Drosophila melanogaster: one gene and its partners. The protein of the gene in region 1 interacts with the protein of each later gene in a pairwise test. Each region holds a gene or a part of one and is shown on either strand. Other genes may lie near its edges.

Region 1 (3,324 bases):
TTCGGAAATAGAGAACATGAATACAACAGCTGTTGCTCTTCCGTTACCACGATGGAAGCCGTGAATCAAGTTTCAATCGTAACGCCAAGAAGAGCATTTTATCTGGCAACGCAGGAGATCCCTGCAAGCATCGGACAACCAGAAGAGTAGCCAGTTGCTTGCACGCTGCCAAGTAAGATTTAGAAAGCATCCGAAAAGTAGGAATCCAATAAAAAGTTATAACTTTGCAATTAAAACATCACAACTTCACGTTTTGTTAAATAAATACGTTGAAGTTGAATAGACGCACAGTTAAGTGACCTAACATTCTTCGGATTAAGTTCTTCATAGGTGTACAAAGTTACCCACCTTCTGGATGTCAGCCCAGATCTTCAGGCGACGCAGGAAGATGACAGCCTGCTTGGTCTTCTGGACCTTTTGCACCTCATCGGACACGACCAGCGGGAACTCGGAGACGCCGTCGATGACATGTCCCTTGGACTGGACCAGAGCTGGCACTCCTGAGGCGGCGATGGCCGACACCAGGGCGTAGCGACGCTGGTTGACATTCACCTTGCGGTGCCAGCGACGGAACGTCTTGGTGGGGGCGAACATGCGTCCACCACGGCACATGTTGCCGAAGGCTCCCTGGCCGGAACGGTGGGTACCGCCACCACGCACACGGGGAATACGGGCCACAGCACGTCCGGTACCCCAGGACTCGGCGGAGGTCTGGTGACCTGCAAACAGGAATTCAAACGGGTTAGATTCACACAAAAGAGGAGTTATAAACAGTTTACTCACCAGCCAGCTCGCTGACGGCGTAGGCCTGTCGGTTGTTGCGGCGGAGCAGCTGGTGAACCTCGTTGACCACATCCGGACGAATGGGCGCCTTGAACACTGCCGGCAGGCATATGTTCTTGTCCTTGGCTGGCTCGTTCTTTTCCGTGTACACGGAGACCAATGGCCTGGCGTTGCCTAAGCTCTGAAAGTGCACATGGTATTCGGGTTTAGTTCACTGATCATTTCACATCACAAAACACAACAAGCGCATTTCGCCATCGCCGCACATTCCAAACACGTGGAGGTTAGGGCGACACTTTTGCACTATTTTCGCATCGTTTCGTGTGTTAAATCCAATGTTTTGGGGTCTGCTGCGGTTGCGGAGTGCCTTGTGCTTCGTTTCTCACCATTTTCGTTGATTTTCAAACCCAATGAAAGGTGCTAAATATTCTGCAAACGCAGATACCGTCCTCTTTTTATTAAGAAGAACGAAGAAAGAAAGAGAGCTGCCGGAAATGGCTGCCAATCGCGTTCCACGGCGCATGGTTGCATTTGCTAACAGCAGCAAGTGTCAAGCTTACAGGGCTAATTGGACGCTGTCCAACACTTTTAGCTTTTTTTTTCTCTCGTAAGAGAAGTTTTTGTTTATATTCTCGCAATTAAACTATAATATTACAAATCTAAATTCGAATTTATCAATAACGTATTTTAGTTAAATTTATAAATTAGCAATGCGTTTTTAAAGAACAAGAATACAATTGTTGTAATTTAACCGCATAATAAATAATCAAACAATACATAATACATACATACGTTAAAAACTAACTTACACAACTTTTATTGGTGAGAAAACAACGCTTATTTTTTGCTTAAATGTTCATGTTAAAACAAAAAAATTTACTAAATAGATATATGGCTATTAATTAACAGCATTCTGTTATCCGTTTATATAGCTATAAAGTAGCTAAATGTGCCACACTAGTGCGAAGCGGCAATTGTATTTGTTTACTTGCGGAAAAAACAGTCTCAAAACACAGAAATTAATAATAAATAATGGCTGGCGAAGTTATTGTGGATGCTCTGCCCTACATAGATCACGGCTATGACGATGTGGGCGTCCGGGAATCGGTAAATATACGGATATCCATGTTGCACGTTGAAACTGACTTTGAAATGGCATCTTCTTCTTCCAAAGGCTCTCGCCATGGTGGAGGAGGAATGCCGGCGCTATAGGCCCACAAAAAATTACCTTGACCATCTGCCACTGCCCGCCAGCTCGCCCTTTGAGACTCCGCTGATGGCCAACGAGTTCGAGCGCATCCAGAACCGCCTGCCCATGGAGACGCTCTCCATGAAGCGCTACGAACTGCCACCGCCGCCATCGGGCAAATTGTCGGAGGTGTCCGCCTGGCAGGAGGCCATTGAGAACTCGATGGCCCAGCTGGAGCACCAGTGGGTGCGCTCTCTCAACCTGGAGCTAATGCTCGACTACGGCACGGAGGCATGGAAGTCCTACCTGGAGGTCTTCACCGCCATGCAGGCGAAGGCGCAGCTCCAGCTGCAGCAGCTGAAGAAGGACATTCAAGATGTCAACTGGCAGCGCAAGCAGGCGCAAACGCAGGCCGGCGAGCGACTGCGCTCCCTGGAAGCCCATTGGGTGCTGCTGGTCTCCAAGAACTACGAGATCGAGACGGAGTGCGTCGAGCTGGAAAAGATCGTCCATGCCGCCCGTCAGCAGCTGCGGAAGATTACCCCGCCGCCCAGCGCCAATGACACGGCTCCAACGCCGGAATACACGAATGGTTTCGACCAGAACGATTTGGCCGAGAGCAACGGCAGTAGCTCCAGCAATCCAGATCCAAGCCAACCTGGCGATGATGGAACAGATGCCGATGGTGACAGCAAGGAGGAGGACAAATCCGAGGCACAGGAGGAATCTTCCAATGGATCAACGTAGATTTAGTACACTGAGCGAAAGCATGAAGCAAGTTAAAGAAAAACTTACGACTGTAACTAAATATAAAGGATATTAAAAAAAACAGCTAAAAATCTAAGATTTATCTTTATTTTTCAAAATCGTTGCAGAGAAATAGTGATCCTCTTCTTTTTGCTCTTATATCAGGGGAATGGACAGCTAGTAAATTTTAAATAATTTCAAGATTAAATATTTTATTATTTCAAATTGGTAAGGTAGTGTTTTGTGCTGTAAATTTTTTATACGAAGAATGGCATTTTTCAATGTTTCTGCTACGGTCACACCAATTGGATGTTTACAAATTTCGTTTACGAATTAAATAAAAAAAAATATAAATAAATACAGAAACAACTAAGGATGGCCCACTACAAAGGTGCCGCCAGCGAGGCGGGCCGTGCAGCCCAGCTGATGAAGAAGCGGGAGATCCAGCAGCAGGAGATCGAGTTTCGCAAGAAGAAGATCGAGGAGGAGCTCAAGCTGGACAAGATTGAGAACAAGTTTGCCACCCACTACGATGCCGTGGAGCAGCAGCTCAAGTCCTCGACCATTGGTCTGGTCACCCTCGACGAGATGAAGGCCAAGCAGGA
Region 2 (3,755 bases), on another chromosome or scaffold:
ACACCCGATCGAGTTAATAAACCCAATTTTGTTGACTCTGCACTCGAAGAACAATTTTAGCAATGGACAGAAAAGTGAAGTAACTCTGCCTATTCCCATATTATTCAGGTTTTGAATTGGTTTCATCTTGTCTTTATTCAATCACAGCTAGATTATATAACTTTACTTTTACTTTTAGCAGGACCTACTACGAATATATACAATGTCTTTCTGCGCCTTTCGTGGCGCGTCGTTGAGAAGAGCTTGATCATAGCTGGATTATATCTAGCCAATAGTTGTCCACTCCATGCTAATACTCCTCCTTGATGGCGACCTTCTGGGCCTTCTTGGCCCGCCTCTTGTACTTCTTGGCGGTATCCGCACACTTGGTAGTGATGGTGGCCCGAATCACCCGTTCCTTGCCGCCCGTCCGGTTTCTCACACAGACCACGATGTCGTCCACCTTGCGTTGGTCTAACTGGAGCTTTGGGGGTCTTTCGCGGCCGTAGAATGCGGGCGACGGCTTCCCGGTCAGCGTGTGGGTAGCCAACTCATCGCTGCTGAAGACAACGCAAAGAAGACACCTCGTGGCCACCGGGGCGTTGGTCCAGAAGACCTCACCGTACTGATGGGCTGTGATCTGGGTGCCATTGGGTCCCAGTACGTACACCGCACTGCCGTCCTCCTTTTGCACTCGGTGCGGGTACTGCACAAGAGTGTCTTTCTCGTCCTTTTCAGAGGCAGTATCTGGGATGTGCGATTCCGACGAACTGGTGGACATGTGGCGCGGTCTCTTGGAGGGCGGCGCGGGCACATCCTCGGCATCGTTGTCGTACCGCTGATTCAGGGTCTTTAGCATGGAAGTGAGACGACCAAAGAGTTGTTCGTAGTGGTGCTGACTCTTCTGGATTTTGGCCACTTGCTGCTTAAAGGATTCCTCCAGGCGAGGCAGTGGCTCCACCCGCGGTTCGATGTTCTTAATGCCCCCGGAAGCGGTGGCTACCGCTACCAACTGGGCATTGATGACGCGTCGCTTGGGCGGAGAGCTTCGGCGGACTGGCACTGCCTTAACGGGAACTGGCTTAACTGGCTGGTTGACTATTATGGGAGGCGGCATTTGGATCTGCAGCTGACCCAGGGGCTTCAGGGTCCGCTGGCGCATCATGGTCTGCTGGGCGGCCACCTCGTAGTTGATGTAGTTCTCGATGTCCATCTCCTCCTGCTTCATTATGGGCCGCGAGAGCAGGCGGTAGTAGTAGGGCACGAAGTTCGGGGCGAACTGGCTCAGATAGTGGTGATATGGGTGGGAGTACTGGACGCTGGGCAGGATAGCAGTCTGCGGATGAAAGTAGTGCGGCTCCGTTTTGCAAACGACTGACATGCTGAATTCCGGAGCCTCGCTATTTGTAAGGTTAGGACACGAGTCCTGATCGTACGGTCGAAATCCGCCGGCCATTTGCACGCGGATTTTGGCAACAGGTAAAGGCAAAAAGGTTTATTTCTGGCAAAAAACGCAGCTGCGTCGGCTTTCTTGGCTTATTTTGCGTATTATTCGTTGGAAAAATTGGTGTTTTATGGCCCGGCTTAACAGTTATTGTTCCTTGCGCCAGATACCTGAGAATCCGAAAATCTTAATCTTGCAGGGCTGCCAAGGTCGCCGAATAAAGATAATTTGCATTCGATAATTGGAAGTAGAGTCTAAAATATTCGCCTTTAGGCTTTACTTAAATTCTTATGGAAATATAGGAGTAACATGATTAAAAAACCGTTTGCTTCTGAAGGCTAGTCTTAAATACGAAATACTCGTACATGTTTTAACTCAAAAAGTTATGCCTTGAAATTTTAAAGGCAGTACCATATATCCTTGAGTGTATTTTCCGCTCATTCAAAATGCATTACAATGGACGGAATTCCAGTAGACTTACCCTTAAATAGGTATCCCTTCTAAAATGGAATTTAAGGGTGTTTTTTTTCCGATCAGAGAGCATTTGAGCGAAGAATTATATTCCAAAAGGATCTCATGTATTGGAAGGGTTCCCAATACATTCAAATTGCAATGGATAATATGCAGTCCGGGTCCTGAAAACCGGTTTTTTTTTTACAAAACCCAACTATTGTCCTTTTTGGTTCTTGGAACTGTGGAAAGAATTCTTACACATTCCTTTGTTACATTTACTTTTTTCTCTTATTTTCTGACCTTCGCCAAAGTGCAGAATACAGAATTTTAACCAAACGGATATTCTGAAAAGAAAAAGAAAAAAACTTTATAGAGAGAACTTAAAAATTTAAAACCCTCGTGACTTGCAACCGATAGTTTTATTTCATAGCCCTAGGTGTCAACCCTGTCGATGAAAGAGAGAGCAAAAGCAGCTTTATTCGCAATTATTTATAATAATAATTATAATACATATACTGGTTCCCGCGCAAACAACAAATCCCATGCGAAGAAAGGAAAAGACAGCTGGACTTGGACTAGTTGGGAAATAGACGGGGTCCTGAAACAGAAACAGGAATAGGATATCAGCTACCTGGAGGGCACACTCACACACACGCAGAGGCAGGCGCTCTCTTCCCCGTATATGCGTGCGCATGTGTGCGTGCAGGTAGGAATGCAACCACTTTTCGCATTCTGCCGCCAATTTTCAGTTGACGCAGATCCTTTGAGGATTGAACATGGAAAACGTGAGTAGCTGCAGGATATCTCCACCGAATATGTTGATCAAGAGTTTTTCCCATCGAATTGCAGCAATATCAGCGCATAGTCAGCGCCACTGCACGCGAGGATTCGCAGGCAAGGAGGAGCAAGCCCTTGTTTCTGAATGCCTGGTCGCAGACTTCTAGCGTGGACTTCGAGGTGCTTCGCAGCATCTCCGCGCCGGACCCGCAAGTGGAGGTCGAGAACAGAGCGCTCCGCGATAAGGTCCGCTACTTGGAGGCCAAACTGCAGCAGCACAAGGATCTGCTATCCCAGATTCATGCCACCTCCGCCAGGATGCAACAGGCATCCTCCCTGCTGGCAGAAAGTAGACCACCCACGCCGCCCGCGGTCCAGAGCCACCACATTCTCACGCCACCGAGTTCAGAGATATGTGCGCCCGCGCAGAATCCCCAGATTCTGGACTACAAGATCATCTCGGCACCCGACGATGCGGATGCCATTGAGATTCGCCTGGCGGCGGAGAGTCTGAACAGCCTGAGCACCTCTGCGGACTCAGATCGCCTGGAGATTTGCCTGGGCGACGAGAATCATCAGCAGAGCAATCATCACAATTCCCAGCAGCAGTACAGGATTAGCAACGGCATAAAGAGGGATGGTTCCTCCGAGTCCGCCGACACTCCACTACAGTTCATCAAACGCCGCAAGCTGCAGGAGATTCAGTTGCAGGAAGAAATCCCGCGGCAGAACATAAAACTACCAGCCAAACCCCAAGTCAAAGCCCGTAATGGCAGTTTTACCGATCTCAACAAGGGCCAACAGCAAAACATGGACAACGTGATGGTGTCCATTGGCCCGAACAACACCTGTGTGCCCGCCAGTGTCTTCGAGAATATTAACTGGTCGGTGTGCTCGCTGGCCACCCGGAAACTACTGGTCACGATCTTCGACCGGGAAACTCTGGCCACCCATTCGATGACGGGCAAGCCGTCGCCCGCCTTCAAGGATCAGGACAAGCCGCTCAAGCGAATGCTCGATCCTGGGAAGATCCAGGACATCATATTCGCAGTGACGCACAAGTGTAATGCCAGTGAGAAGGAGGTGCGCAACGCCATCACCA
Region 3 (3,701 bases), on another chromosome or scaffold:
AGGAAAAGAGGAAAAAATCGTGATGAACATTATGATTGAAATGCCGAGCTTTTCATATCATTTCGTTGGACAAACAAGTCGCACAAAACTCCCAAGAAGTGGACATGTCCGTACATACATATATACCAAATATATATTGTATTATATATATTTATGTGTATATGGTATACCTACCTAGTTCATGTGTATTCTTATAGCAATGGGAGACAACTCGATTTTGCTCGTTAGACAACATTTGTTTCGGACAGTTGGCAACTAATTTGTTTTGAAATGGATGTGGAGAGTGTCCTCGACCCCCAGGACTTCAATTTGAGACAGGGGACCAAGGGTCGGCAAATTGAATAAGAAACAAAAAAAAAAACGAACAAAAAATAAAGCACAAGATATGCTGAGAAAAGTCGACCGAATATGCCATGAGCATGTGCAGATTTTCTTCCACCCCAAAAATAATAGGCCCTCCACTTGTACGTAAATATGTTGCCACATTTTTGATAGCATCAACAGGAAAATTGTTTGCCTTTGATCCCTGAAAAACTAAGTAGTCATGCGGTGAGCCATTCAGCTATTCAAAGTTTAAAACTATAGGATTTTTAAACAGAGTTTTCTAAAAGCCTTTCAGTGGATCCCCCAATGAAAAGGCTGGCTAGTTGGCTTCAATGTGTGTATTTGTTTAATATTGTTGCCAGATCTAGTAAATAGCTGCACTTCCAAGTTTAATTAACCATTAGATTAGTCTTAAAAACCCTTAAAGGGGGCTTTTAATCAGTTTCCGTTTCCGTTTCCGTTTCGTGTTCATTTTCAACGATTTCCGCCACATTCGCTGAACATTCGACAATGTCAGCTGGTTGCAATTGAAGTGATTCTTCTGGCAATTTCACCTCTAAGGATGGCGAATTCGGTCCCAGTATGTCCTTGAACAAAGAATCGGCACTTGGGAGATAAAAACTTGGATCTTGATCGGTATTGGGAATCACTTCGTCAGTTTTGGAATCATCGGTATCAGGTGTACTTGGTAAAATGGCCTGGTCTGTAAATTGAGAATCCACAAAGGTGAATAATGCTGACAGCGAGACCAAAACTTCGTCTATATCTTCTCGTTCCTCTAAATTGGATCTTCGCTGCTCCAAAGTCTGCAAATTGGAGCCCACAGAAGTTGCCAATGCGGATTCATCGAACTCGTCTAACATGTCCTCTCTGGTATTTGATAAGTTATCTAGAAATTTAATACCGTTTTGATTGGATTAAATTAGAATGTGAAATAGCTGAAACCGCTTATTACCCAAAGTTATTCTATGTTTATTTTTCCTTGCTGGAACAACGAGACTTCGTCGATTTTCCTTTTTCTTTAAACCTTGTGAACTACTTGCCTTGGGTCTTTCGCTAGTCGTTAAACTTTGTGTTGGTGGATCGGCAATTGTAACCGATTTATTGGAAGGTCGTCGTTCCAAACGTGCTGACTTGATAATGGGAGAGGTCCTAGAGCCAGAAGGTTTCTCCGAACTCTTTTTCACGACGGAACTAGCACTGGTAGCTGGAATTGGTAATGGATTTCCACCCGAAATGGGAGCAACGGTCTGTCGAAGTTTTTTATTCTCAACAAAGAGTAGAGACCTCAAATTTTTCATTTCTTCAATTAGCTGCGATCTGCGCTCTTCAAGTTCTTTCAATTTACGATGTTCAGCGTCCAAACTGGCAAAAAGTCGAGCAAATATAGCATTATTCTCTTCTTGCTGGCGAACATGGGCTTCCACGCGGCTCGTTCGATTCTGGGATCCACTGACATTATCCTTATTGTCCTGGGATTTCTTCTCGGCCATATTTTATTTGAGATTTGAGCTTGAGGTTCTCTTGGGAATTGTCTTAGAGTAGGGAATCCTCAGTCGCTCTATCAAAAACAAAAAAAAAATTTTGAATTTCCTAGACCTGAAACAACAATATTTTGGAATTTTGTTCTATTGTGTAGTGCACAGTTACTGTGTCGTGTTTAAACTGAGATAATCAACTGATGGATGTTCGAAATCTAGTCAACTAAAATCAAGGCCAACATGTTTTAGATATTGAAAAAAAAAAAAAAAATAGATTTAACATGGCTTTATTTTGATCCGAAATGATGGCTATAAAATGGCCAAGTTTCAAATTGATCAAGTCAGAAATTGCGCCCAACAAAAAGTACAAATAAATCGGAGTACGATTTTATTTGCACTCCCTGTGCTGCCATTATCCTGGCCTTTTAGCCACTCTCAAATTGGTCGAACTATTAAAGTGAAAAACTTTTTAGCTTCTGTTTTCCGTCGCTCGCCTTCGAATCCCCCATCCCGGGATTGGTTCCATTTTATTCGGAATCTCATATTTTGGCAGACAAACTTCAAACTATTGTTGTGGCAAGTCAATGAACTGGCAAAATCGCCTAATATTTCCACACTCCCAGACACTTGTCCTTTTTTCCTCTATTTTCCGTGTGTTTGCTGGCAGTTTTTTTTTGCTTTTTTTTTTGAGGAGGGAAAAAGGAGTTTTCCCTGGGAGCTTCGCTCCATGTTTTGTGCTCTGAATGGCCAAGTATATTAAAAGTCTATTTCTTTTGGCAAGACAATAAAGTAGCGCGAGGGCGCAACGAGCGATAGTGAAGGACAGTAGTGGCTCACCCTGCCCGTTTTGCTGTAACAAAAGCACACGAAGATGAAGTTGGAGCTGGAGCAGGAACAGTAGGATTCCGGACTCAGGATCCTGGGATCCTGGATCCACGACTTTGGCAGTGGGTTGAATGAGCTGGCGGGCGGCTATTGTTCTACATCGCGAAATAGCGCACATAAAAAGCCAAAGAACGACGGCCATAAATGATAAAAAAAAAAAAAAAACAGAAAGAAAGTGGGAGAGAGGAGCCGGAGAAAATTGGTGGAAGCCGAAACTGAACCCGAAGTGGGAATAAATGACAGCCAACTGGCAGCCAGACAGAGGCGCCCCAAAATGTGGGGTTATGGGGGATATCAAAAACTAGGGAGAGCACCCGAGAATCCCAGAGAAAGACGGCAAAATGGAATAAAAAATACCAGGCCGACATCGACATTTTCGCAGCGCACACCAACCTACGCCCCTGTCAATTTCCAAGGAAAAGGGTTAAAAATGTTTCATTGCCTCTCTCGACAGGACTTCGAAGACAACATATGCCAATAATTTACGCAATTTAGACAAAGTAAAAACGAAAAAGAACAGAAAGTCGTGGCGGGGGAACAAAAAATAAAACAAACAAACAACAACAACGAAGAGACGGCCCGGAAAAATGGGGAATGGAAAGAAAAGGCCCAAGAAAATGTTCTCTTCAGGCAGCAAATCCATCACTTCAAGGAGTTGGGTTGGTATGTCCAAAAACCATCAGCAAAATAAAGACAAGGATGAAAAAAGCCGGAATCCAAACCGAATTGATGCTCAATTTTATATTTTAAATGTTATTCAAATTGTGTCACATTTCTCAGTGTAATGGCTTGGAATTGTCTGTTGGAAAAAAAAGGGTTATCCCAGTTGTTGTTTTCGTATTTTGTGGCTTGTACGAGGCACTCCTCCCCGCCTTTTATTTTATTTATCGACAGCCATTTCTCCGGGGTTACATATCCGTTTATATAAAGCAGTATATAGAGAGATGCCTTAGAAATGAGCGATGCTCGAGCGATTTAAACGCGCTAAGCTAATTAGCTTTGGCCAACAAC

The links.
Region 2: the proteins of BCAS2 (region 1) and Elba2 interact in a two-hybrid assay, tested with the Drosophila melanogaster proteins (one large-scale study listed by BioGRID).
Region 3: the proteins of BCAS2 (region 1) and CG32655 interact in a two-hybrid assay, tested with the Drosophila melanogaster proteins (one large-scale study listed by BioGRID).

What each region holds. Positions count from the first base shown.
Region 1 is NT_033777.3:27,920,765-27,924,088, reverse strand, and holds BCAS2 (BCAS2), read left to right. Parts: upstream 1-1,732; 5' UTR 1,733-1,815; coding exon 1,816-1,890; intron 1,891-1,957; coding exon 1,958-2,719; 3' UTR 2,720-2,806; downstream 2,807-3,324. Other genes in the region: RpL4 (ribosomal protein L4), read right to left, coding at 349-719, 784-964, 1,170-1,172; CG12259 (uncharacterized protein), read left to right, coding at 3,095-3,324.
Region 2 is NT_033779.5:2,575,543-2,579,297, reverse strand, and holds Elba2 (early boundary activity 2), read right to left. Parts: upstream 1,612-3,755; 5' UTR 1,436-1,611; coding exon 290-1,435; 3' UTR 119-289; downstream 1-118. Other genes in the region: insv (insensitive), read left to right, coding at 2,653-2,661, 2,726-3,755. UniProt on the Drosophila melanogaster protein: The heterotrimeric Elba complex is required for chromatin domain boundary function during early embryogenesis.
Region 3 is NC_004354.4:12,233,913-12,237,613, forward strand, and holds CG32655 (uncharacterized protein), read right to left. Parts: upstream 1,966-3,701; 5' UTR 1,818-1,965; coding exon 1,280-1,817; intron 1,214-1,279; coding exon 759-1,213; 3' UTR 650-758; downstream 1-649.